Linked DNA regions of Astyanax mexicanus. The protein of the gene in region 2 purifies or fractionates together with the protein of the main gene of each other region. This does not show direct contact. Links are inferred from orthologs where the notes say so. Each region holds a gene or a part of one and is shown on either strand. Other genes may lie near its edges.

Evidence for each region. The genes of interacting proteins can lie anywhere in the genome.
Region 1: the proteins of ube2o (region 2) and recql4 purify together in Homo sapiens (affinity purification with mass spectrometry; 3 studies listed by BioGRID, with this or other methods). This does not show direct contact. The link is inferred for Astyanax mexicanus from reciprocal best matches to the Homo sapiens genes UBE2O and RECQL4.
Region 3: the proteins of ube2o (region 2) and nap1l4b purify together in Homo sapiens (affinity purification with mass spectrometry; 3 studies listed by BioGRID, with this or other methods). This does not show direct contact. The link is inferred for Astyanax mexicanus from reciprocal best matches to the Homo sapiens genes UBE2O and NAP1L4.

What each region holds. Positions count from the first base shown.
Region 1 is NC_064410.1:3,355,050-3,363,408, forward strand, and holds the start of recql4 (ATP-dependent DNA helicase Q4), read left to right. Parts: upstream 1-5,063; 5' UTR 5,064-5,306; coding exon 5,307-5,390; intron 5,391-6,599; coding exon 6,600-6,633; intron 6,634-6,741; coding exon 6,742-6,836; intron 6,837-6,941; coding exon 6,942-7,082; intron 7,083-8,053; coding exon 8,054-8,359. Other genes in the region: olfactory receptor class A-like protein 4, read left to right, coding at 1,337-1,600, 2,353-2,607, 3,902-4,114. UniProt on the Homo sapiens protein: An ATP-dependent DNA helicase which unwinds dsDNA with a 3'-overhang in a 3'-5' direction. Does not unwind more than 18 bp of dsDNA. May modulate chromosome segregation. The N-terminal domain (residues 1-54) binds DNA Y-shaped DNA better than ss- or dsDNA.
Region 2 is NC_064412.1:29,561,156-29,569,460, reverse strand, and holds the start of ube2o ((E3-independent) E2 ubiquitin-conjugating enzyme UBE2O), read left to right. Parts: upstream 1-5,189; 5' UTR 5,190-5,256; coding exon 5,257-5,781; intron 5,782-8,305. Other genes in the region: ADP/ATP translocase 2, read left to right, coding at 763-1,249, 2,533-2,673, 3,075-3,232. UniProt on the Homo sapiens protein: E2/E3 hybrid ubiquitin-protein ligase that displays both E2 and E3 ligase activities and mediates monoubiquitination of target proteins. Negatively regulates TRAF6-mediated NF-kappa-B activation independently of its E2 activity.
Region 3 is NC_064430.1:13,698,157-13,705,432, forward strand, and holds the start of nap1l4b (nucleosome assembly protein 1-like 4b), read right to left. Parts: upstream 3,297-7,276; 5' UTR 3,213-3,296; exon of another isoform or gene 3,157-3,212; intron 654-3,156; 5' UTR 631-653; coding exon 603-630; intron 1-602. UniProt on the Homo sapiens protein: Acts as a histone chaperone in nucleosome assembly.

The DNA.
Region 1 (8,359 bases), on a different chromosome or scaffold from region 2:
CTCTAAATTAACCATATAACTCCATCTTTATTTACAACCATTGACTAATATAATTATCTAAGAATAATGACACATTACACTTTTTTTTTTACATTGTGTCAAAATTTCAGGGTGAGTAGACCAATAGAAAAGCTCCAAAATTATTATTATTTTTTAATCTCTTGTAAAGTTGGCAGATAAAAGGTTTTAGCATTACCTAATTACCTCTAAAATAACCATATAATTACGTTTTTATTTACAACCAAAAATAAAACTTTACTATCTAAGAAAAAGTAAAAGTAACGCTGAAAGAAAGAATCAATAGCATTTTTCACTTTTTGACATTTTACAATGAATGGACCAATAGAAAAGCTCCAATTATTATTATTTTTTTTTATTATCCTGTAAAGTTGTCAAAAACAAATTTTTGGCATTACCGAATAACCTCTAAATTATCAATATAATTAGTTATTTTAACAACCATTACCTAATTTAATTTACTAAGAAAAAGTTAAAGCAATGCTAAATAGAAGTGTCAATGTAAATCTGACTGTTTTATTTTTTAACACTGTGTCAAAATGTTTTATCCTATTATCTTTTAAAGTTGGCAGATACAAGGTTTTGGCATTACCTAATTACCTCTAAATGAACTAAATGAAATATAATTAAATTTTTATACATTTTTACAATTTAAAGAAGTTCTACTATTATTTATATTAATATTATAGAAATTTAGAAATAAGACATCTAATAATGTATTAATTAATAGTGTATTGTAATAAGGATGAATATACATTTAGTTAGCATTAATTTCCTTTACACAATTACCTCTAAATTACCGCTAAGATTCTGTAAAAGTAATGTTAAAAGAAAGGATCGATTTCACATATTTAGACTGTAACATCTGTAAACTGTAAACTGTAAAACCACAGGCTCATATTTTTTTTCCAGTTTTTATTTTTTTAACAAAACCAGAAGCAATAAGGTTTTTATTTTGTAGATTATCAAGAAAATGAAAAAGTAACATTTTATACATTACTTTAATTTGAGGCAACAGATGGATGTAAATGTAATTTATCCAGGCTTAAAGAGTATAGGGGGTGGTGGGATCATATTTCTCAATTATTAAATATTCAAGTCTAATATATATATATATAATATTTTATCTACTTTTAGGATTTTTTAGGACTTTTTGCCCAAATTTAAGCAAAAATGTGTAATTTAATGCATTTCCCAATATTGGAAAATCTGATGAAAAAGTTGATGGCCTCTAAAGGGCCTCAACATTTTCGGAGCACTTATGAATGTTAATTTTTGATGGCTTTTTAATTACCTATCTTCTCATTTTTTCCTCAAGGTGTTACCTGGAAAGGACTGGTGTCAGATTCTGATGGGTGTGTGGGTGTGGCTTCGCTCTGTGAACGTTTGGTCAACGTTCTTCCTCAGTGCTTTTCATTTCCACACTCTGAGACGGACGGCTCCTCCCATTACCAGCCTGAGCGGTCCCCGAGGTTTACCCAGAGGAATTCTAACGGGGTTCGGTTTAATCTGGAGCAGCAATCTCCTCTACTCCGTACCTGCCTTCATTTACTCCACCAGCGGAGGAAAGAACGCCACAGAGGTACGGAATCACTGGTTTGAATCCTGGTCATGCAGCTTGCCATCAGCTGCCGGAGCCCTGAGAGTGCACAATTGGCCTTGTTCTCTCTCTCTGGGTGGGTACAGTACAGTAGATGGCGCTCTTCTCTTTCTCCTCATCACTCCTAGGGTGACGTGGATCAGCACAAGGCTGCATCTGTGAGCTGATGTAACAGAACCGAGTCGCTAGCGCTGTGACGCTACTCGGCAATGCTGCATCAGTGTACTGGTCTTTACCATCCCTGTGTTGGGTGATTCAGTGTTCTTGCACCATTTAAAAAGTCAAATTTAATGCTTTTTAAGGCCCAAAAGTTCTCTCCCCCGTAACGTTAACATAACTTTCCGCTGACGTTAGTACATTAGCTAACTCGCCGCTAATGTTAGCTAGCTTTCCACTAGCTAATTTACAGTAAACCAAGACAATTTAAGACCTTAATTACCTAGATTTTATAGGTAGATTTCAGCAGCTTGATGATTGAAACAATTGGCTACATAAATTGGGAAAAATGGGAAAAAAATAGAAATAAATTTAAAGAAAAAATAATAAAGTCATGCATGAAAAAGAATGGGAGTTAATGGGAGTAACAAGGGATGTAAAAACAACAAACGGAAGAGCATGGCTTAGTTCAGTTGAATCAGAAATTGTGTTTCATGAAATTTGTATTTATTACCTGCAGTTTGTTGGCTGTTCTCACTAAATTTCCTCCCTTCTGTCTCTTATATATTAAACTACAGACGTTAATGTTGGTGAGCAGCACCACACGTCCGTTACTGGGCTGCCTGTGGGATTTTCCCTCCGTCTACAGCGGTCTGGCCTTCGCCACCACCTCCATGGTGATCCACGAGATCATCCCCATCGTGCTCATGAGCGTCACCAACCTGGGATCACTTCTCACACTGTACGCACACGGAAACACCCACAGCACCGGGAATAAAGCCCAGGACGCTCCGGTCATCCGCAGGGTTCCTGCAGAGAGACGAGCTGCCAAGGTCAGAACATTTACTGCCACAACTTTCATTTATTTTCAATAAGAAGCTGCACTGCAAAAAATTAAATCATAAAAAGTAAAAAAAAAAAAAATCAAATTTAAGGCTATAAATCTTCTTCTAAATTCTTTCCTGATAAGACTTTTGGTCTTATTAAGCATCGTGTAAGTGTTAGATTATTTTGCTTATTTTAGGAATAATTGTCCCTTTCAGACATGAATTAATTGATCCAGTGATGGAAAATGTAAGAATGCTGTTTTCTTTTTGTAATCCAAAAAAAAGACACTATTTAAAAATAAATGTAAAAAATACATTTTATTTTTAATGCACTTTACATTTCAAACAAATGTAAAAAAAGAAAGTGCTAATTGATTAAAACTGATTAAAATTGATTTAAAACTTTAAATTGATTTAAACTTTTTATTCCTAAACATAACAAAAAAGTGTTCAAAATTGCAGAGAATTAGTAAAAATAAGCTTATTTTTAAGATAAACTTACCTTTTTTGTTCTGTAGTGATTACATGCCCATTTTCTTTTTTGTACAATGCAGTGGGCGGGTCTAAGCTAGTTTCATTGACTGGTTTATGATCTATTCTGATGGACAACATCAACGTCTCAATTAGTGTTCTGTGTAAATTAACATTCAATAAAAAGAAACTACATGATGTCCATTGTAATTGACACAGGGTCTGTCAGTCATACTTCAAATTTTTACTTTATTTTAAGTAATTTGAACTCAAAATAAGCATTAGGTTATTTTTCTTATTTTAATTAAGTTATTCTGTTTCTTTTGTCCAAATGTAAGGCAAGAAAAAAACGTTTTTTGAATGTTTTTGATTGATTTAAAGCTTACCGCACTCGTTTTAAGACTTAGCGATTGTTTTTTTTTTTTTTTTGTAATAAATCTTACTAAGAAAAATTTGCTCACCCCATTGGCAGATTTTTTTGGCTTAATATAAGCATATATGTCTTAATTTACATAAATCTTGTCTAGTTTTTGACGATAGATTTTTTTTGTATTGTGGCTCTATGATGCGAGCTCAGCTCAGCATCAGCAGCCGGAGTCTGAGAGATCCCTCACACCTGATCTAGATAATTAATGTTTTTTAGCAGCATGTGAATGTTCTAGATTCAGGTACGTTCAATCTGAAATCTCCAGGGTGGTAGATCTCCAGGGGGCTGCTCAGCATCAGCAGCTGGAGTCTGAGAGAGAGCACAAATGGCCTTGTTCTCTCTGAGTGGGCATATTAATTGTATTAATTTCTCCCTTATTTTTTTTGTATTTCTCCTCTTCAGGTGATTCTAGCCCTGATCCTTCTGTTCATCGTGTCCTGGGGTGCAAGTGTGATCTCAGTGAACTACTTCAACTACAACCGCGGAGCTTCATCTACGTACCTGTTGGTTCTGGCCCGTTTCTCCAACAGTCTCTTTATAGCTTTGTCTCCCCTGATCCTGGCTGTGGGACACCGGAGACTCAGACAGTTCTTTAAATCCATCATCTCTCACTGACTGACTTGTGTTCTGCAGGTTTTAAGGGACGATACATTTTAATGCAGTAAAGTAATATAAACTTACTTTAGCTTGCTAGAGTGATATTGTCATGATAGGTCTTTTATTCTGAAACCTATAAATACTGTGCCATGCCAACTAATAATAAATAAAGGGCTTGTATGGTGCCACATCTATGTCAAAAACACCAGGTGACAATAATAAACATGCAAGTTTTAACATTTTATCTGTTCAGTTTTTTTTTTTTTTTTTTGCAAATTCTCACGATTGCTGCCACTAGTGGTCCAAAAAATTTTAACACAGATTACAATATAATATAACACATATTTTGGGAAAAATCACTAGAACGTGCTCAGTGTCCTCATGTCATTAGCATAGCCGCCATTTAGCTATTTTTCATGTTTTTGCTAATTCTATGCTAAAAACATTCACTGTTACTTTCAATCCTGTTACTCAAAACATAAAAAGTAACAGGAATGAGTGCCAGTGACAGGAGTGAGTGCCATTAACAGGAGTGATTTGTTTTGTCATAAATATCAATTATTTGAACATGCAGTCAACCATTTCTTTAAAATAAAGACTTTCTTGAGAGAAATCAGCTTCAGTTTAGTAATCTTGTAAAAAGGTTGACCAGCACATGTTTTAAATCGTTAAATACATGCATTTTTAGATTAAGATTTTTAGAAAAAAATAAATAAATAAATTTGGAAGACTTACAACAAGCAAATGGCACCCATTTGGTAGAATGTCCCATAAATACAAACAATACAACACTATACAAAGTCGAGGCCATGCATTATTACTGTTATTATTATCGATTAAATAAAGAAATAAAGAAAAACATTGAAAGTGAAAATGTGTCTAAACTGTTTTTTTTTTTTTTTTTTTTTTAACGTGGGACTCTTATTTTGACAGGGGCCGGTTCGACGTCTTCCTGTGTTTTCCGACCGGCTTGAGGTTTGGCGCGCTGAGTTGAAAGGAGCTCGAGCTGAGAGCTGAAGCTGAATCTGTAGGATAGTTAGTTAGTAAAAGGCTGGTTATTTGGTTTATTTGAGTTATTCTGGTGAAGTTATTAAGTTATTTCTCTTGTATAAACTCTCACCCATGCGCAGCCTGTTATTGTATGTTATAATATTCACTGTAGCCTAATAAAACCTGTAGATAAATTAGGAAGGTTCTCTCAGGGCTCAGAATGGACCGATATAACGATTTAAAAATCCTCCTGAAGAAATGGGAACAGTCCTTTATGCAGATAAACAACAGGAAACCCAACAAGGTAACATTAGCTACATGTTTACTCCTGTATATCTTCTTATACTGAGTGATTTAAACATTATTGTTCAGATGTGAGTTTCTGTTGCTCTCGGTGAAGCTGTGTGTTTACCTGCAGGCTGGTTCCTGTTGTAGTTGTGGTAATTTTAAGCTAAATAATGATTTATTAATATATATAGATAGATAGATAGATAGATAATTAGGTTAGCTAACTTTAGCTAATGTTGTCATGCTTGTGTGTATTTATTTTTCTATTCTTTAATAAATCTCAGCTCGCCCGTGCAAATGTACACCATTTGAGATAATACCCTATTTGTTTTAAAAGACAGTGATTAAATCCGAATAAACTTGATATTCTAAAGTAAGCTGGATAAAAAAGGGTAACCTCCTAGAAATATGGAGGAATAATAACTTTAATAATATCTACCATGGGAAAAAAAAAAAATATATATATATATATATATATAATATTTATTTATTTATATATTTATATATATATTTTTTTCCATGGTAGATATTATTAAAGTCTATGTGATGCTGCGATAGATAGATAGATAGATAGATAGATAGATAGATAGATAGATAGATAGATAGATAGATAGATAAGGTTAACCTCCTAAGAATATGAGAAAAAAAAATTAAATATATGATTTAATTGTCTATTTTATTGTTCTAAGGACAACATAAAATCCTAACAGTACAAACACAAATTAACAGTAAAAACTGTACATGTTTACAAAAAAACACCTGATTATAATCTTTGTTCTTTTTATTACATGTATATGTATATTTGTGCGTTTGCGTGTGTGAGTATATAAATATAGTAAATATATGTATTAAACATTGTTGATTATGTCAACTATCTGCTGTATGTTAATATTTTTAGCAGTCAGTTGAATAATATAAGCAGTTCTTGTTCTACATTTTGTGAGATTTTAAAAGTATGATAATCTTAGTTTTACGGTAACACATTGGGTGGTATTTCCAAAAATAATCCTGTTGTTGTTTTTATTATATATTTGTAATATTATACATAGACATTTGAAGGAATGTAAACCTTAAACAGTTTTTTTTATACAATAATATGTCTTTTTTTTTTTTTTATAAACTAAATAAAGAAAGCTACAAGTGAGATGTTTTTCTCAATTAATTATCACATTTTTTATGGATTAAACTGTTGATTTCTCAAATAATTTAATGATTGCTTTTTTAGGATGATATTGATGCAGCTCCAGAAGAGACCAGGCGTAAGTTAATAATCAATTTTTAATACACTGCACGTGTTTTTGTCTCTTAAATAAAAAGTTCTGTTTGTATATATTCATTATGTCCTGAATATATTTGCTCTCTTGCAGAACTTTATAAAGAGTATCGCACTCTTAAAGAGGCGAAAGTTAGTGGAGAGAGTGATGTTCAGGTGAAATCACAGGAATCCCAGTCTGCAGGAATGGTATGTACCCTGATTTATGCAGTGTTTCTGTGTTTATCTGTGTTGATCTGTAATTGTGTTTCCGTATGTTTAAATAAATTATGATTGTGTTCTTGTGATTAAAAGGACTGCTGGGGGTCTCACCTTAACCGAAAGAGCATGCCAGTGGCTGCACCCAAACTGACATTAAAAGACAAAGAGACGTTGCATGCATCTGCTCAGTACTTCGGCATGAAGCTGAAGTCTAATCTCGGAGCTCTGTCAAAGGTAAGTGTCGGCCTGTCACGATAACTATAGATGCTCGTAAATAATACACATAACATGTGAACCTACCACAAGAATATGCATTATCTATGTATGCATGTACTTATGTTATAAATTGATTGATTAAGTTGAATAATGTATTTATCACAGCTGGCCTAGGCAAGTGAGAATTAAATTGTATTAAATTGCAGAACTGTTTATTGCTAAAATGAACCACTGTCTGACACCAATTTTAACATGTATCGTATTTTGCACTATAAGGTGCACTGGATTATGAGGCACATTTTATGCGACACTAGGAAGAAACAAGGGTATCACCATGTTTTCCTTGTAATTCAGAAGGCGACGAGACCTGTGAAGCTGAGCTACCTTAAGTAAACATAACTGTAATTCTTAAAAAAAAAAAAAAAGCATTTTCTTTTAAAGTCAAAGTAGTGCTGGATGTTAATCTAGAAAACTGTTTATTTGGGTGAGAAAAGCGCTTCCCGTTTATTTAGAGTAAGCTTAGATTTCCAGTTTTTCACTAAGGCTGGGTACAGCAGCATTAGTAGCTTATTTTAACAAGGTAAACGCACAGGCCACAGGCCGATATACTCAACTATGAATGGCGCGGTTAGCGGCTAATGCTAATACTGCTGCACCCAGCCTTAGCGCTTCAGAGGCTTTATTGAAAGTCACCTTTATAAAGCTGTAATTCAGTGGAGTGGCTTTATTGCTACTTGAAACCTGACTGGTAGAATTTATACATAAGGAGCACTGATGATTTTTGTGAAAATTAAAGAATTTTAAGATTTACTGATTTTTCTTGTTTTTGAACTGTGTTTAATTACAGTATTGGTAAACTAAATATTGTGATACAGCATGATTCATGATACTGTTATTTTCTTACACTCTTATTAAATTGACTGTCTAGCAGTGTAGCTGTCTTATCTGTCTGTCTACCCATCTGTCTTCCTGCTTATCTTAAAATTTAGGAACGATCATTCTCCCTCAAAAAAGCAGCCACCCCTCGCCGAACACCAGCAAAGTCCTGGAAGGACAGTGCAGCTTTTGGTGCAGTATCAGTGGAAGCGATGGCGGTGGAGACCCATTCACCAAGACCAGCCAACACTTGCCCAGACCCTTCGGCCGTACCAGTGCAGGCAGCTAGCAGCAAACTGGAGAACGAACCACTGAACCCATTTCCCACCTTCACCCCCTCCAAGTCCTCCAAGCTGAGCACTGAAACTCCAGGCAAATCTACAGAAAGGGCTCAGTTCCTCAAACAGTCCATGACCAGG
Region 2 (8,305 bases):
TACCATATCAAATCTATATTTTTTATAACAGGATTTTTTTTATTTCATAATGTGAAATTTATTATCATGGTTCCACATTACAAAGCTATGCTATTATACAATTTATATTATAGTTCTTTTTACTTGTTTTTATTGTTCTTCATGGTCTTTATTTACAAATTTAATGTACTATTTGAGTGCAGGTGACTGAACTGTATTTCACAGTTATTCTGACAAGAACTCATCTATTTGCCATTTTATCATTCTCTTACTATTCTTTTTTTATTAATTCTCAATGCCTAGAGTTTCAATTGCCCCACAGTCACCACCAAACTGTTTGTGCAGGTCCCCAAGCTCTAATCCTCAGCCATACTGACCTGCACTTATTCTTCTGTCGTATTTTATCTCTTGTTCCTCACACATTAGCTGAACAACCATTCTACATTTTCTTCGATATGGAAAAAAACTCTTTTATAGCCAGCCAATCAAAATTTTCAAACTACTGCTAAGGTGTTGTAATTGGACACCTTGCTGCACTTCTAAAAGGCTTACTCTGTATTATGACACTATGCTGGCTAGCATTGCACTGAATGATGGGGGAGAGGGAGGGTCATCCTATATCCACTTAGAGAGAGTGAGACCAGTTATGCTCTCTACAACTCCTGGAAACCTGCAGCCTTCTGATAACAAGGCCAACGCTTAGACAGTTGCACCACAGATCTACCCCAAATCCATTCCAATCTTCACAATAATCTTAAATATTCTTCTCAAATCTTCTTACAGGTTCAGCATGCCAGCAAACACATCACGGCTGATAAGCAGTACAAGGGCATCGTCGACTGCATCGTCCGCATTCCCAAAGAGCAGGGCTTCCTCGCTTACTGGAGAGGCAACCTGGCCAACGTCATCCGATACATCCCCACTCAGGCCCTCAACTTCGCCTTTAAGGACAGGTACAAGACGTTCTTCCTGGCTGGAGTGGACCAGCACACCCAGTTCTGGAGATATTTTGCGGGTAACCTGGCTGCAGGGGGCGCCGCAGGAGCAACTTCTATGTGTGTAGTCTACCCGCTGGACTTCGCCCGCACTCGCTTGGCTGCTGATATTGGTAAGGTGAAGGTGGAGAGGGAGTTCACTGGGTTGTCGGACTGCTTCGTCAAGATCTTCAAAGCTGATGGACTCGGGGGACTCTACAAGGGCTTCGGTGTGTCAGTGCAGGGCATCATCATCTACAGAGCTGCCTACTTCGGCATCTATGATACTGTCAAAAGTGAGTATATGTCTATCTATGATACTTCGGTATCTATGATACTGTCAAAAGTGAGTATATACCTATACTTTCATATACCTAGGTAGACGTATACATTTATATCACTAGTTCTCAGTTATGGTCCTGTAGAACCTGTGTGATGCATATGTGTATCGTTATTTTATTAAAACCATATAATATTAGCTATTGAAATTAATATTCCTGGTCACCTTATTGACTAGCCTGTAACAGAAGCATTTGGACAGCTCAGACTCTTTAGAATTTTTTGCACCTCGTATCCAGAGTTTTATAGAGGTTTATCACTTGTTCTGAATAATTGATTTTGCACCGCGGACCGTTTCTGGGCTCGTCTGAGGGACGAGAGGAACTTTTTCCAAGCTGTGAATCGATTGCATGGTTCCATCCACCTCTTAGTAAATATTGCAGTTTGCGGTTGTTTTTCTATTTTACTCATAAACACTCATAATGCAAAGAACAGCAGCAGGAGCTCCTCAGATAAAGTGGTGTTCTCATTTTTCTCCAGGCAGGACAGAGTGAGACGAGCGTTTGACTCCACAGAGCTAAGCTACAATTACTCCAATGTGTTAGCTTGTTATGCTAACTGGCTAGCGTTAGTTAGCAAGCTGTGTCAGTATGCTTCTTTACCAGTTTTAATTTCCCCTCCGGTATAACATATGAACCGGTATACCGCCCAGCACTAACCGTACAGTACAAATAAACAAATACAAATGTGGAATATTCAATCATGATCACACACATATAGACCAGATGACATGACCCACACAATATTCCATGTGAGCCCCACATATGAATGTCAGTGATGGGCTCAGAAGGGGTTAACCATGGGCCCTATCTGGGCTGTACACTGCACACAGATCCTAGATGGGACCTGTGTGAGAATAAGATGGGCTATAGCGATAGAGGGCTGCAACCTAGATCATGTTCTACGCCTGTGAGCCCCACATGAGCATTTTGGCTGGAGAAAAGATATTTTTTTCTAAATAAAATACACGTTGCCATGCTTATATTAGAAAAAAAAACACTGATCGGACTGTCTTCATAAATGTACATACATTGTATTTAACTAAATTCAGCAACTCTCTGATTTTTCTTTCCTGTTAAAGGAAATATGTTGACATTGGTGTTTGGGGTAATTAACCAAATACTACAGACACAGCAGACAGAAATTTATACTTTGGGCTGGACTGTTTCGTTAGCGAGGTTAAAATGGGTGTATTTTGGAAAGCATTGGAATGTGCACTAAACACAACTTCTGTCTGTAGGTATGATGCCAGATCCAGAAAATATTCACTTCATGTTCAGCTGGATGATCGCTCAGAGTGTGACCACTGTGGCTGGAATCATATCCTACCCTTTTGACACGGTCCGACGCCGTATGATGATGCAGTCTGGACTGAAAGGAGGTAAGATCAACACTGATAACAAACCTAGCAACAAATTAAATTGCAGATGACCTATTTTGTTATGTGCCATAAGTTCTTCTGTAGTATCTGGACACTTTCAGACATAAGCAGCAGATCCTTCACGTTTTGTCCTTTAAGTTATGAGTTGGGGCCTTGATGACCTTGTTACCAGTTTACTGGTTGTCCTTTGAGCATTTTTGGTAGTTACACCCCACAATACCTTCCCAATGTTTTGGAGATGATCTGACCCAGTCATCTACCCGTCACAGATTTCTTGTCTCTCAGATTCTTACTTTTGCCCATTTTTTCCTTCTTCAACACAACAACTTAAACTCACTTTTTATTTCTTCACTTTTTATTCATTCTTGTTATATTTTCTTTTTTTTGTTGGGAATATACAGGGGATGCATTCTACACCGGCACAGTGGACTGCTGGAGGAAGATTGCTCGTGAAGAAGGCATGCAGGCCTTTTTCAAGGGAACCTTCTCGAACATTCTGAGGGGCGTTGGAGGCGCCTTGGTGCTGGTTTTGTACGACGAATTCAAGAAATTCACCTGAATGACTGCCGTCAACCTGTGTTTGTGTGGAACCTGCCAGCAGTGTGTGTGGAAAGATTTATTGGTAATTGATTGAAATGGGGTTTTATGAATCATTGATCATTGTGTTGCCTTTTTTAAAGAATATTTATATAAATAGTATAGAAAAGTCGCAGGACACTTTTTTAAATCAGAAACGAAAGGGAAAAGTAATGAAAGCAAAAATTACATATCTGAATAACCCAGGCTATGTCTGGAACATGGCCAGTATTTCAAAAGCCATATTACGCTTTGGAAATAAGAGTGTCCTGTGATTTTTGACTTACTCTGCACACTGAGGAGGCAAAACATTATGACCATTGAATATGGCAGCTAGTGCCTTTAAAGGTATTCTGTGGTATCTGTCACCAAGACATTATCAGCAGATCCTTTTCTATGTCCTGTAAGTTTTGAGGTGGAGTCTACATGATCTGATTCACCAGTTGTTCTTACTTAGTGTGCTGACCATTGCATACTGGGAACTCAGGTGCTATTGGAACATGTGAGTGGTTTTAATGTTATGGCTGACTGGTGTATGTGTGTGCGTGTGTGTATATATGTAACAAACCAATAAAATTTATAAAAAACCTGGTGTGTCTGTAGTATGTCTTTTTATCTGTTGATGCACAATTTATGTTAAGAAAGAAGTTTATTTTTCAATAGATTTCTTAATCATTTAATTACACAGATATATTAAGGCGGTTGGGTATTAGATCGCCTATTGTTACCCATTCCCCACTGCCCAGTGAACAATATCATGCCAGCAGTGATGAGCCTCTAACCCAGCCTGCCTGCCAACAATCTGCATTCACACACTGACACCATGCGGCGGGATGAGGTCACCCTGGCCGTGTGCAGTAACGCCTGTAGGCCTGTGGGTGGAGCAGCAGGCCACACTTCAGTCCCTGTGCTGCTCAGAAGGCCTGAGTCAGAGCTGAGCATGATGATGCTGGGGGCTGTGTCACTTTACAGAAAGATGCATGAGGCAGGCAGGAGTGAGACAGATCAGACAGGTGAAGTCACATAAACTAACCTCACTTTACATCTCAGGAAGCGTTAGAGGCAGAATCAACAGAAGTTCAGTATGGCATGTGAAATACAAATACAAATTAAAATATGATTCCAGGTGTAAAATATTTCTTAACTTCAAGCTTAAACAAAGAAGAGACTGATGTGTGCTTCTTATTGGCTCTGAATAAACAGAAATATAAATAAATAATTGGTTATTAAAACTTTTCCTAACAGTGCACATTTTTACATTTTTAACATGGATTAAAAAAACATTTATGCATATTATTAAGATAAAAATAATAAGAGTTACCAGTAATAATAACAATAATAAAAAATAATAATAGCAAAGTATTATTATTATTAGCTTCAAATAAATAATACCACTACTATTTTTACTACTTCTATTATCATTAATATTAAATAATAGATGTATAAATCATATTGTAAGTTTAAATATTGCAATAACATTGATTCATTTATGTTTTAAAAAGAATACCAATAGTAGTAATAATAATAATAATAGTTCTGCTTCTTCTTTTTCTTCTTCTTCTTATAATTCTCACATTAATAACTACAAATAAATGATCACTATTATTACTATTATTACTTAATTATACGAATTACTATTACAATTAAATAATAATATAAATGTTAAAGTTATGGTTAAATATTACAATGATAATCTGAATTATAGTATTACTATGATAATATCAATAATTATAAAATAATTCTATTAATGATTCTATTTCAAAAAGAAAATTAATAGGAACCTCGGTAATACACACTTCTACAGTAATTCGTTCCTATTATTGTAATAACTATGAACTGAATTCTAGGTGTGTATAAAGTGAATGAAATCACAGGCTGCTGCTGAATTCTCTCTTATTCGAGTTCAGCGACGTGCAGCGCTTTTTGCGTGGCCACGTTAACCACGTGCTGCTCGCAGCTCCGCTTTTTCGCTTCGTCTCTCCGCCGCCCGTCTCACTAACAGCAGCGATGGCGGATCCAGCAGAAGCAGCAGCGACGGCGGCAGTCCCGCCGCAGACCTCCCCGGCTCTCTCCCCGGCGCTCAGCCCGGGCTCGGAGCCTCCCTCCATGGCTCTCTCGCCGTCCGCAGGCGGCGCCCAGCGGCTCCTGTTCTCACACGACTTGGTCTCGGGTCGACACCGCGGCTCTCTGCGCTTCGGCCTGGTGCGGATGATTCACGGGGAGGAGGACTTCGAGGAGTCCGACTCGGATGTGGAGGATGGCGGCGGGAGAGGAGGCGGTGGTGGCGGCGGAGGTGTTGGAGGCGGCGGTGGAGGTAGCGGTGCTGGAGGAGGTGGCGGCGGCGGCGGCGGCGGTGGAGGTGGTGGAGGAGGAGGAGGAGGCGGCGGCGGCGGCGGTGGAGGAGGCTGCATCCCCGGGAATTCAGACACTGAGAGCGGGGCGGCTGACTCTCGGACGTGGCCTCTCGGGAGAGGCTTTGTACGGGTGCAGTGGTACCCTGAAGGGACGAAGCAGGATGTTCGAGAAACGAAGGTAATTTTATGCTCCGGTTATTCGATTTTTAATCCGTTTTATTGTCCTCCAGCAGCATCCCTCTCTGGTTCATCCCTGATTAGCCCGTGTAGCTAACCCAGCTAGCTAATAATGTCTTCTCCACGCCTGCTAACCTAACTAGCAGAGGCAGGTAATCGCTAGCAAAACGACGATTAATCGATTGTTCGTAGATGAATCGTACAGTTTCCCCGCTTCTTTGCGTAAAAGAAACATATAATGCCTTGACAACGGTGGAAGTGTTTTTGTTTTATTTTAGGTCTAATTACGCTACAATTGTCCCAGGCTTTTATGATTATTTTTCATTAATGGCATAAAATGAAGATAAGTAATCGATAATGTAAGCGCATAATCAGATTTGCATAAAGCATAGAATTACAGCAAACAGATGCAAACAAGTCACCATGGATGAATGGGTACAGATTATGATGAATACAGGTAATTCACCTGCTGCTTAGAAGGTTTATTGTTTTTTGATAGATTTTTGGTCAAGGTAACCATGTTTCAACATGATCTATCTCGTTTAGCAGACTGCTCTTGTTTTTTTTCTGTAACCTTCCATCAAAACACTCTCTCAATCCTGTTTTTTCAGGATTTTAAGATTTTCCCATGCACCAGTTCCTAGTCCCAGCTCCCCATCATGCAAACCTCAAACGACACCTCTGAGACCCTCCCTGTTCACAGTTTTTACTTATGTAAATACGTAAAAGAACAATAAATTATGCCACAAATCCATTTGGACTTGGGATCGTTATGTCAGCAGGTTGCCTGCTGATCCATGCACAAGAAAGCTGTCAATGGTGGTGTTTACTGTGGTGGATGCTTCTACACCCATCTCCAGATTCCGAAAGGCCAATTCAGTGCCCTGATCTAAACAACAAAAGTGTGCCACCGCTGTTGACTGTGGGCCACACGTTTTGACAGTTGTATTGGATGGCGTGGGCTGGGCAAGTATTCGTGTGCTCTGCCCTTTGTGTGAATCACACAAAGAATTGATTATTCCAGGCTGGGCCTCACTAGAATCCACCTTTTAGGTCACTTCTGAAGCTCATCAGCAGTGATAAATGCGCATGGCTGTGAATGACCTTAAAACAAAGATTGGGTGTTCTAGCAAAAGGTTTAAGCAATTTTCTAGGATAACTGCTCAACCCATCCATATCGGAACAAAGCCTAGGCCAGCCTCATGAACCTAGGTGTGTCTCAGCATTGATTAGCCAGGCTTTGCTGATTCGAGCAGTGACCCCTCGGCCTACTGATGTTCTGTCCTGCAAGTCGTAGTTTTTTAAAAATGAATGTGCAAAAATGTTTCAGGCTCACTTTTGTGAGGCAGGTTGTGAAATTTTCACAGTTATTTTGCAAATAATGTAGTCTAGAAGGGTTCTGTGGCTTAACGGAATTAAAGGATGTAGGTCTACACATGTTCGGGAATTGAAGGGCCATAACAAAATTAAAATATAGAATCCACTAGGGATGGGCGACATGGCCTTAAAATAATATCACAATATTTTGTGGTGTTTTTGAGATAACGATACTCTTGGCGATATGACAAAACACTGAATTCCAAAAAAATATTTAATAAATACAATACTGCAACAAAATGAAAGTTAAATGCTATTCTTGTATATGATATGATATGGCACACTCCTAACTGAGATACAATAATATAATAAAAATACAATAATTTGATCAGATTTTTTTTTACAGAAGTCAGTAATTGAGAATGTCATGATACTAAAATCCACTTCAAATATCTCCATCTATCCAGGATTAAAGTAAAATAAATGATACTGGACAGATTTAATCTGTCTTTAGTAGATGTTAAATGAGAACAGTGTAAATTTTTCTTTTGCTAAAAGTAGCAAAAAGGTAGTACCCTGATGTGATGATTAGGGGTGGGTGATATGGCATGATATTTTAGGGTATAATATAGTTATATTTAAATATGATATTTAAAAATGTTGACTATTATTGCGATACCATATGGCACACCCCTAGAATCCACATAGATCAGCATTAAAGAAATCCTTTACATGCAGTGCTCCAGTATCATCTAAATACACTGCATTGTTTTGTTTTTAGACAGTGGTCAAATTGAACATCTGTATTACAAGGATTTACATTACAAAACAGTTTGCTGATCTAAATGAACAAAAGTGTAACCTGAAGAAAAATGCTCAAGGCAGGAATTTCTTGTTTAATTATTGCTTCAAATAAGTGATTACACCTTTTAATAATTTATATTTGACCTGAGCTGCATATCAATTTTACAGCATAAATAACTTTGTTAAATAAGTGTACTAATACTGCATTCGAATTAATTTGGAACTGTGAACTTTTACACATGTTGCATGGTGTATTTGATTCATATTATTGAAATGGACTGTTATTTTTAGTTTTTTACTTGTAAAGGTCTTTTTGGCCCATTAAATAACAGATAATGTTATTTATCGGGAATCTTTGAAGAATAGAAAGTACTATAAATATATCAGTGTGTTGTTTGTTTATT
Region 3 (7,276 bases), on a different chromosome or scaffold from region 2:
TTGCTTATTGAGAAATTATAGGAACCCAGCAATGTTTTTCATGCATGTGTATTTAACTAATGGAAAAGCTGGTATTATCAAATTAATTATCAAATACAGCTCAAATAAATGTATGATCCTATATAAGGTGATTATAATGCCCAAAAGATCTCTGAGTAAAATCACAGGGAAAAAAATCAAACCTGAAATACGAAACTAAACTAAAACGTGGCACCTTTCCTAAAAACTACTCAGCCAGTCAAGAGATCATATTTAACTTTATTAACATATTTAATTTGTAACAATGCCTTAACATAGAGATTTCTAAGGTATCTCTCCACATCTGTGTGGAAGACAGATTGGAGGGAGGGGATCTAATTGCTGTAACGTCTTGGCAGCATAATATCAAGTTTTCATGAAACTTTTAAGCTGAAACTTTACACTGGCTTTCTTCAGAATGGCATCTCGGAATAATCATTCATAGGGTAACTCACAGAAGAAACAACTGTCCACCTGCTGATTAATTTTTCAGCAGCCAAGACAGCAACAGAATGGTCCGCTCTTTTCCACAACACATAACAGAGATAATTGAGGATCTTACAGAGGGATCACAGTTACTGTACCTTTGGCTTCGTTCTTGTCACCCTCCATCTCGTAAGCACAGCTCAAAGGGTCTATGAAGGGGACAAACACGTTATGAACTGAAGCATTATTTGCAAAATGGCTTAAAGCTGGTAAGCCAGGTGTGGGCAGAAAAACAAAAGGGCTGAAACAACAAATGCTCTTACAATTCAAGCTCAGACCTGAATCAGCAGCACACAAACAACCACCAAAAAGTACTCATTCATATAAACAGATTGCCTCTCAGATAGCAAAAGTATGTAGAATCAATGTTCATTTTCCTGTCTCTAATTCACTAAAACATTGATTTCTAGAATCAGAACTGATTTATTATAGTCTGTGTACTAAAGTACTAATTATTTCCTCTAATAATTATTGTCTTAATCTATCAGCATGCGGTTAAATTCCAAACCTTTAAATGAAGGTTGTCAGAATTGTCAGAAATTCAGCATTAGCATACATTGTCTATAGCAAAATTAAAGATTGTTTAAAGCCTGCTTTCTGTTATCATACATTTATTCTAGGGCTGCAACAACAAATCAATTATTAAAATAGTATAATAATAATAATATAATAATCGATAAGTTTAGTATGTAAACAATACTATTTTTAATAAATGTTAGTTAGGATGTATGTTTCTTATACAGTTACAACATTAGTGCAAAAATGAGTAAAAATCGATTAATCAAAATAATAACAGACAGATTAAGCAATAATAATAAAAAAAAATACTATTGGGAACTGTTTGGTTTATTAAATAAAATGTTGGAAATGTTGCTCAAAATAATTGATAGTTGCAGCCCTACTTTATTTAATGTTTCTTTGATATCAGGGAATACATTTACACATTTTCTGGCAACACTATTGTAATAATTACTGACAACTAGCTACGTTACAATGTTTTAAAGTCTTCAGTTGTTCGACTTTTTAAGACAACATATAAAAATATGAGATATAACTTAGAATATATATAAATTACATGCAGTATTTATGTGGTAAAAGCCAAGTTCTTCTTCATTCAATATGTCCAATTAAAGACGTCCAGTAAAACTTCCCTCTGGGAGAAATTTGTTTTTTGGTATGTAATATATTTCTAATATGTATTTTATTGAATTACTTAAACTAGTTGAATAAGGCCTTTATGAATGGCTTTTGCTAATGTGTAGTATTCTCTGAAGGGGTCCAGGGAAGTTATGTGTAGCCATAAATAGTTCATATGAGAGAATATTTCCAGAACTGTCAAAAATAAAAATTAAAATAATTCCCTGAATACCTCTGTGAATAACGTTGGATAAAATACTGACTTATTTTAGTAGTTATGTCAGAGTTATTCCATAAAAAACGTTTTATGTGGAGAGAAGTTATGAACAAAGCACAGCTTCCACGCAAGAAGCACCTGTTGATGCAAACTAGAGAAAGAAATTGGGAGCTTATTAGTCAAATAAATATAAGATAAATGCTAGGTCTCCAATTTTGTTGAAAATATTATTTTTAATAAAAGTACCAAATTGAATTATATTTGTTTATCAGACATGTTTTAAGCCAACTAATTCTGAGGGAATTTAAAACATTATCAAACTCTAGCATCTCCAGCCCATATTCTATCCTACAGTTGTTCAGTAGCTCGACTTGCGGGAAAACTGCTGATGCCGGTGACGCAATTCGGCTAACTTTGTTAGCTAACGCTAGCAGCGCAGCTTCAATCTGCGGAGCTGGCTATGTTGATTAGCTAGCTAGCTAGCACTGCTAACCACATAACCCTGCTACCATAGCCTAGCTTAACACACAGAAGTCGTTCTTTTAAAGCGGTTCTGTTATTATTAAAAGGGTTATTACTGCAGACATTTCACACAATAAATGATAAGTATGTTGTAGCTATAAGTAGCTCGGTTAGCTAAGCTAACTAGCTTAACACTGAGGCGAGAGGGGCTGGGCGGTGCCAGAAGCGCTCGCTAGCCCGCTGCTCAAAATTAGCTAAGCTAGGCTAGGTATGGCTAGCTGACTATAGATGTAGCTAAGTTTTATAAATGGACGATGATTTGTAGTTAGCTAAAGCTAAACTCACTAACCTAGCTAGTTAGCTGCTACGTCAATATGATAGCTAACGTTTGCTAGTCAGTGAAAATAAAGCTAACGCTAACTAGCTATGCTAGTTCACCTAAAGCTGCGCTGCTTCACTGTGTTATTGTATCTCAGACACATCAGCAGTTTGCTCAGCAGTCAGTCACAGAAATATCCTCATTAATGTAATCTGGAGGATAGAGACGTTCACTCTGTTTTCTAACAACGCTGTTAAATCGACCAGCAACATCAGCCGGCCAACAGAATCCCGACAAAGCTGTTCTTACGCAGCAGAAAAACAAGAAAAACAACGCTATGTTAACTATAACTAGCCCGCCAGCTAAACTCTACTACATCTCCTCTACAACAGCGTTACTGCTACAGTTCAGCCCAGCGAGTAACGGAATCGACCTGCTAATTAACTAACTACATAACTAACTCAGAGAATCATCTGGATCTTCAGAGGATCTTTCTGTACGATGTTCACTTCCTTACCTCCTCCAGAGCTGTTTTCTCTCACATGGGCAGTATCAGTGAAGTGCGCTACTTACTCTGAAGCAGCGCTAGAGTAGATAGACCCCATTGGTTTCCGGCGTCCGAGTAGCGCCGCCTTAACGAAACGTCAAGGACCAGCGGAATTCAACATCAGAGTAAACTCAAAGAGTTTCAGAACTGCATTCATTATTATTTTTTGTTGGAAACTTTATTATTATTTTTTATTTAAATTTTATTTCAATAAAATTTGTATTTAAATTTGTATTTATTATTATTATTATTATTTTTTTTATATTGTATTATTATTTATTTTTTATTTTATTTTTTATTATTTTTATTTAACATTTGATTTTTTTTTATTTTTATTTAAATTTTATTTAAATTTTATTTAAATTTATTTTTTTTATTTATTTATTTAAACTTTATTATAATTTTTTTTTGCTTTATTGGAGATACAGGATTTATAGGGTAAAGATATGCTTTATCCACTTAATATGTTCTATATCCCCATTCCCACAAAAAAAAAAAAAAAAACAAGTAAGCTCAGAACTGCAGTTTCCGAACTGAATTGGATTATTTCTTATTGGAATAATATGGTTTATTTGAGACCCCGGCCCCCCAAACAAAAACAAGACAAAAAGAACTACATTGATTAGTTTTTACAGAAATAATGAAATCCTTTATTCGAGATCAACCTGTTCTTGTTGTTTGGTTTATTTCATATTCATAAATGCACATTTAGTGGTGCCAAACCATTATTTCTTGTTTTAAGACTGTTTTTAAGTATATGAACACTTTGCAATGCTCAATCTCAAAGCTAAAACAACAGGTGCTAATATACTTCACATATGTGACTCCAAATGACTAATAGATTCGAAATGACCTAAAAAGACCCCTTAATCTTTCTTGATCTTTGTTACCTCTTGAAATACTTTTTACATATTTGTTTTATGTTGTGGTTAAAAAAGGAAGAACTGCAATGATTACATCCACAGTTCCTTTCTTCATTTTCAAAGGCTTAAAAATAATACTTAGAAAAACCTGTAACTTAAAGATTTACTATTAATATAGCCACAAGCATAACAATTATACACCAATGGACCAAAAGCCTTTTAGATAGTGCTTAAATAGTTGAACAGCTCTTAAATAGTTTTTATGACACCAAGCCATATTATGAAGCATGTTTCATTTTTGAAGCTAAATTGGGAGAAGAGCTCCCATACAATGAGTCCAATGGTTCTTATGATCCTGGTGATTCAGTGCCCTGCATTCCTTGAAATAGGACACATAGCACACTTGGAGGTTACCTGAAAAACTGGTTAAGATCAGATTCAAAGAGAGGGGTTCTTAAGTCTGGAGCCAAGAAATCTAGTAGTAGCAATAATATATGTGAGAATTCTCTTTTTTATGAGTGGAAATGTACATGACCCTTGTTACTGATGTGTAATAAAAAGAAATGCATTGTTGCTATTCTGGGCTTGGTTTGCCAGAAACTGCACTATGTAACTTGAAATGGGCTGTACTCACTTTAGATGTCAGTTCTGTGTCTCTGCAAATTATACTTCCCAGCTCTAGAGGGAGTCCAAGAGCAAGAAACACTAATTCTCATATAACCAAGGGACTTTTCTTTTAACTTATGCTATACATCAATCTGTATATCTATATACATGTTTATAAGCATAAAAAACAAGACAACAGGTAAAAAAAAGAGAAATGTTTTGCATAGCAGTGTGTTTTAAGTTTTTAGCTTTACACTGGCATTACATTATTTACCCCAAAGCAGCACACAGAGTTTGGTACTTTACAATGATTTTATTATTATTATTATTTTTAAACGTCATAAAAAAATCTCAGCAAGCATTATTCAAAAAAAAAAAAAAGAAGAGCAAACCCTTCTGAAATGCCGTACAACTTTATCAAACTTCCATACGGTCTGCTGTACAGGATATAACACCACAAGGAAAAAAGGTCATACATCAAAAATCAGTTCTACCAGAGAGGAGTAGCCATCATTCAGGCCTATATCGTATTTAAGATCAAATCATCAGTGCTGGCTTCAAGTACAATATTGACAGTAATAATTACAAAACAAACTTCTCCTCACATGTACTTAGCAAAAATCTAAAGAAAACTAAAAAAATCCAAAATAAAATGAACACGACAAAAAACTGACCATACAGAAAAGGTCAACTGCTGAGTAAACATCATTTAATGCAAACAAAGTGGCGAATCGTTGTATCTTTCTAGCAGAATTATTTATATGTTGTATTAACTGCATGGTTATGGACAGGCACTTTCACACCTGGGATCAAATTGTTCTTTTATGTTTTTTAAAATATCAGTTTTACAAAAGCGAATTTTAAATCCTGGCTTAAAGCAGAATCTTTCATTTTTTTAGTAAGAAAATAAGAAATGCTAAAATTCTAACATAGTTTTCAGAGTGTGTTGGAGTGAAATGGTGCATTGTAAAGTTTTTACAGTGGTGGTGATAGAAATCTACTACATGGACAGTGGTATTGTGACACCTGCATATTAACTGTTTCTTAATAAACCAAGTGTATTAAGGACCTTTGATTGCATCCAGTAGTAAGAGCAATGGTGAGGTCATGCTTGTTGGGTGATTACAAAACCACCCCACAACATCTTCACTCTTAACTTCTACAACTTTAACATTTTAGAAATATTGGATGGAGCATCATTATTATAGAGCCAAACACAATTCCTCTGCTCCACATAGTGGAAATGTTTTTTTTGTTGTTGTTTTTTTTTGCTTCAGAGAGTCCGTTAAACCATCTCCTAATGCTAAAACTAAATTAAAGCAATAGGGCTGTGGCAATACGATACATATCATGATACAGGAGATATGATTCAATATTGCGATATATTGCATATTACATATTGTGACTGTTGTCAAATTTTAGATAGTATTTAAACACTTATCCTATAAAATTTTAATAAAAGAAGTCAAACATAAGAGACCACTTAAAATGATTAGTTTCTTTAAATTTACCAAATTGAAAACCCTTGGAATATAATCAAGAGGAAGATTAATGATCACAAGCCATTAAACCAAGCTGTACTGCTTGAATTTTTTCACCAGGCGTGGCATCAATTTCTCCAAAAGCAGTGTGTAAGACTGGTGGAGGAGAACATGCCAAGATATCACAATACAATACAATACAATATAGATAGCTATATTTCTTGCATCCATATAAGGCAGTGTTAACAGGCATCTGGCAGTGAATTTGCAGCTTTGAGGTGTTAAATTCTACAAATGTCAGGGTCTGATCACCACCACTGTCAAAAATGTCTCTGGAAAAGGGCATTGAATTGCAAATCACCCTCTATGTAGGACTTTAATTGCATCTGAAGCACTTCATAATAAGAAAACCTGTGAGGTTTGAAAAGTCGTTTTCAAAAAAAGCTGTTAAATCCCTATCCACAGAAAGATACGAAACTTGGAAGTCTTCTAAATATCACAACACATCTTTAATAATCCATGCCATGTTTTCACACAAGCAGGCTCTTTTGAAAGATAGAGCACTAGCAAAAAACAAAAAATCAAACAAAAACAGAAACAAAAAATTGAACAACTACAACCAAAACAAAACAAAAAGAACACTTGGGATAATCTATCTGTACAAGAGGACTAGTTTTTCAGACAGGTGCAGACTTGCTGACCACTGATAAATAAACATACATTTAGGGAGCAGATAACTTATTAGTTATCAGTCTTAACATTTTAGACTAACAGCCTATTAATAACAATAGTAGTATAATAAACAGTGCCTTGGATTAGTCTTATGAAGGTTTAATATGTACAAAAATGACCTTCAAAAAGACTCACTTTTTCAACAGCCTTGTAAATATCTGTCTTGCTACATATGTTTTGCAAACCATACCAGTAGTGATATAATAATACACGTGTTGTGAAGGTTCCAGTGCTACAGGACAGGTTGGGTTGCTTAAATTGTCCTTCCCCCTCCCACCTTCAAAACAACAATTTAAATAAACAAGCAAACAAACAAACAAACAGAAAAACCTAATACCCAGAATGCTTTTTCAGTGTCATTTCAATCCTTCTTTTTTCCAGAATTTTACTAAAAAAGGGTATAAAATT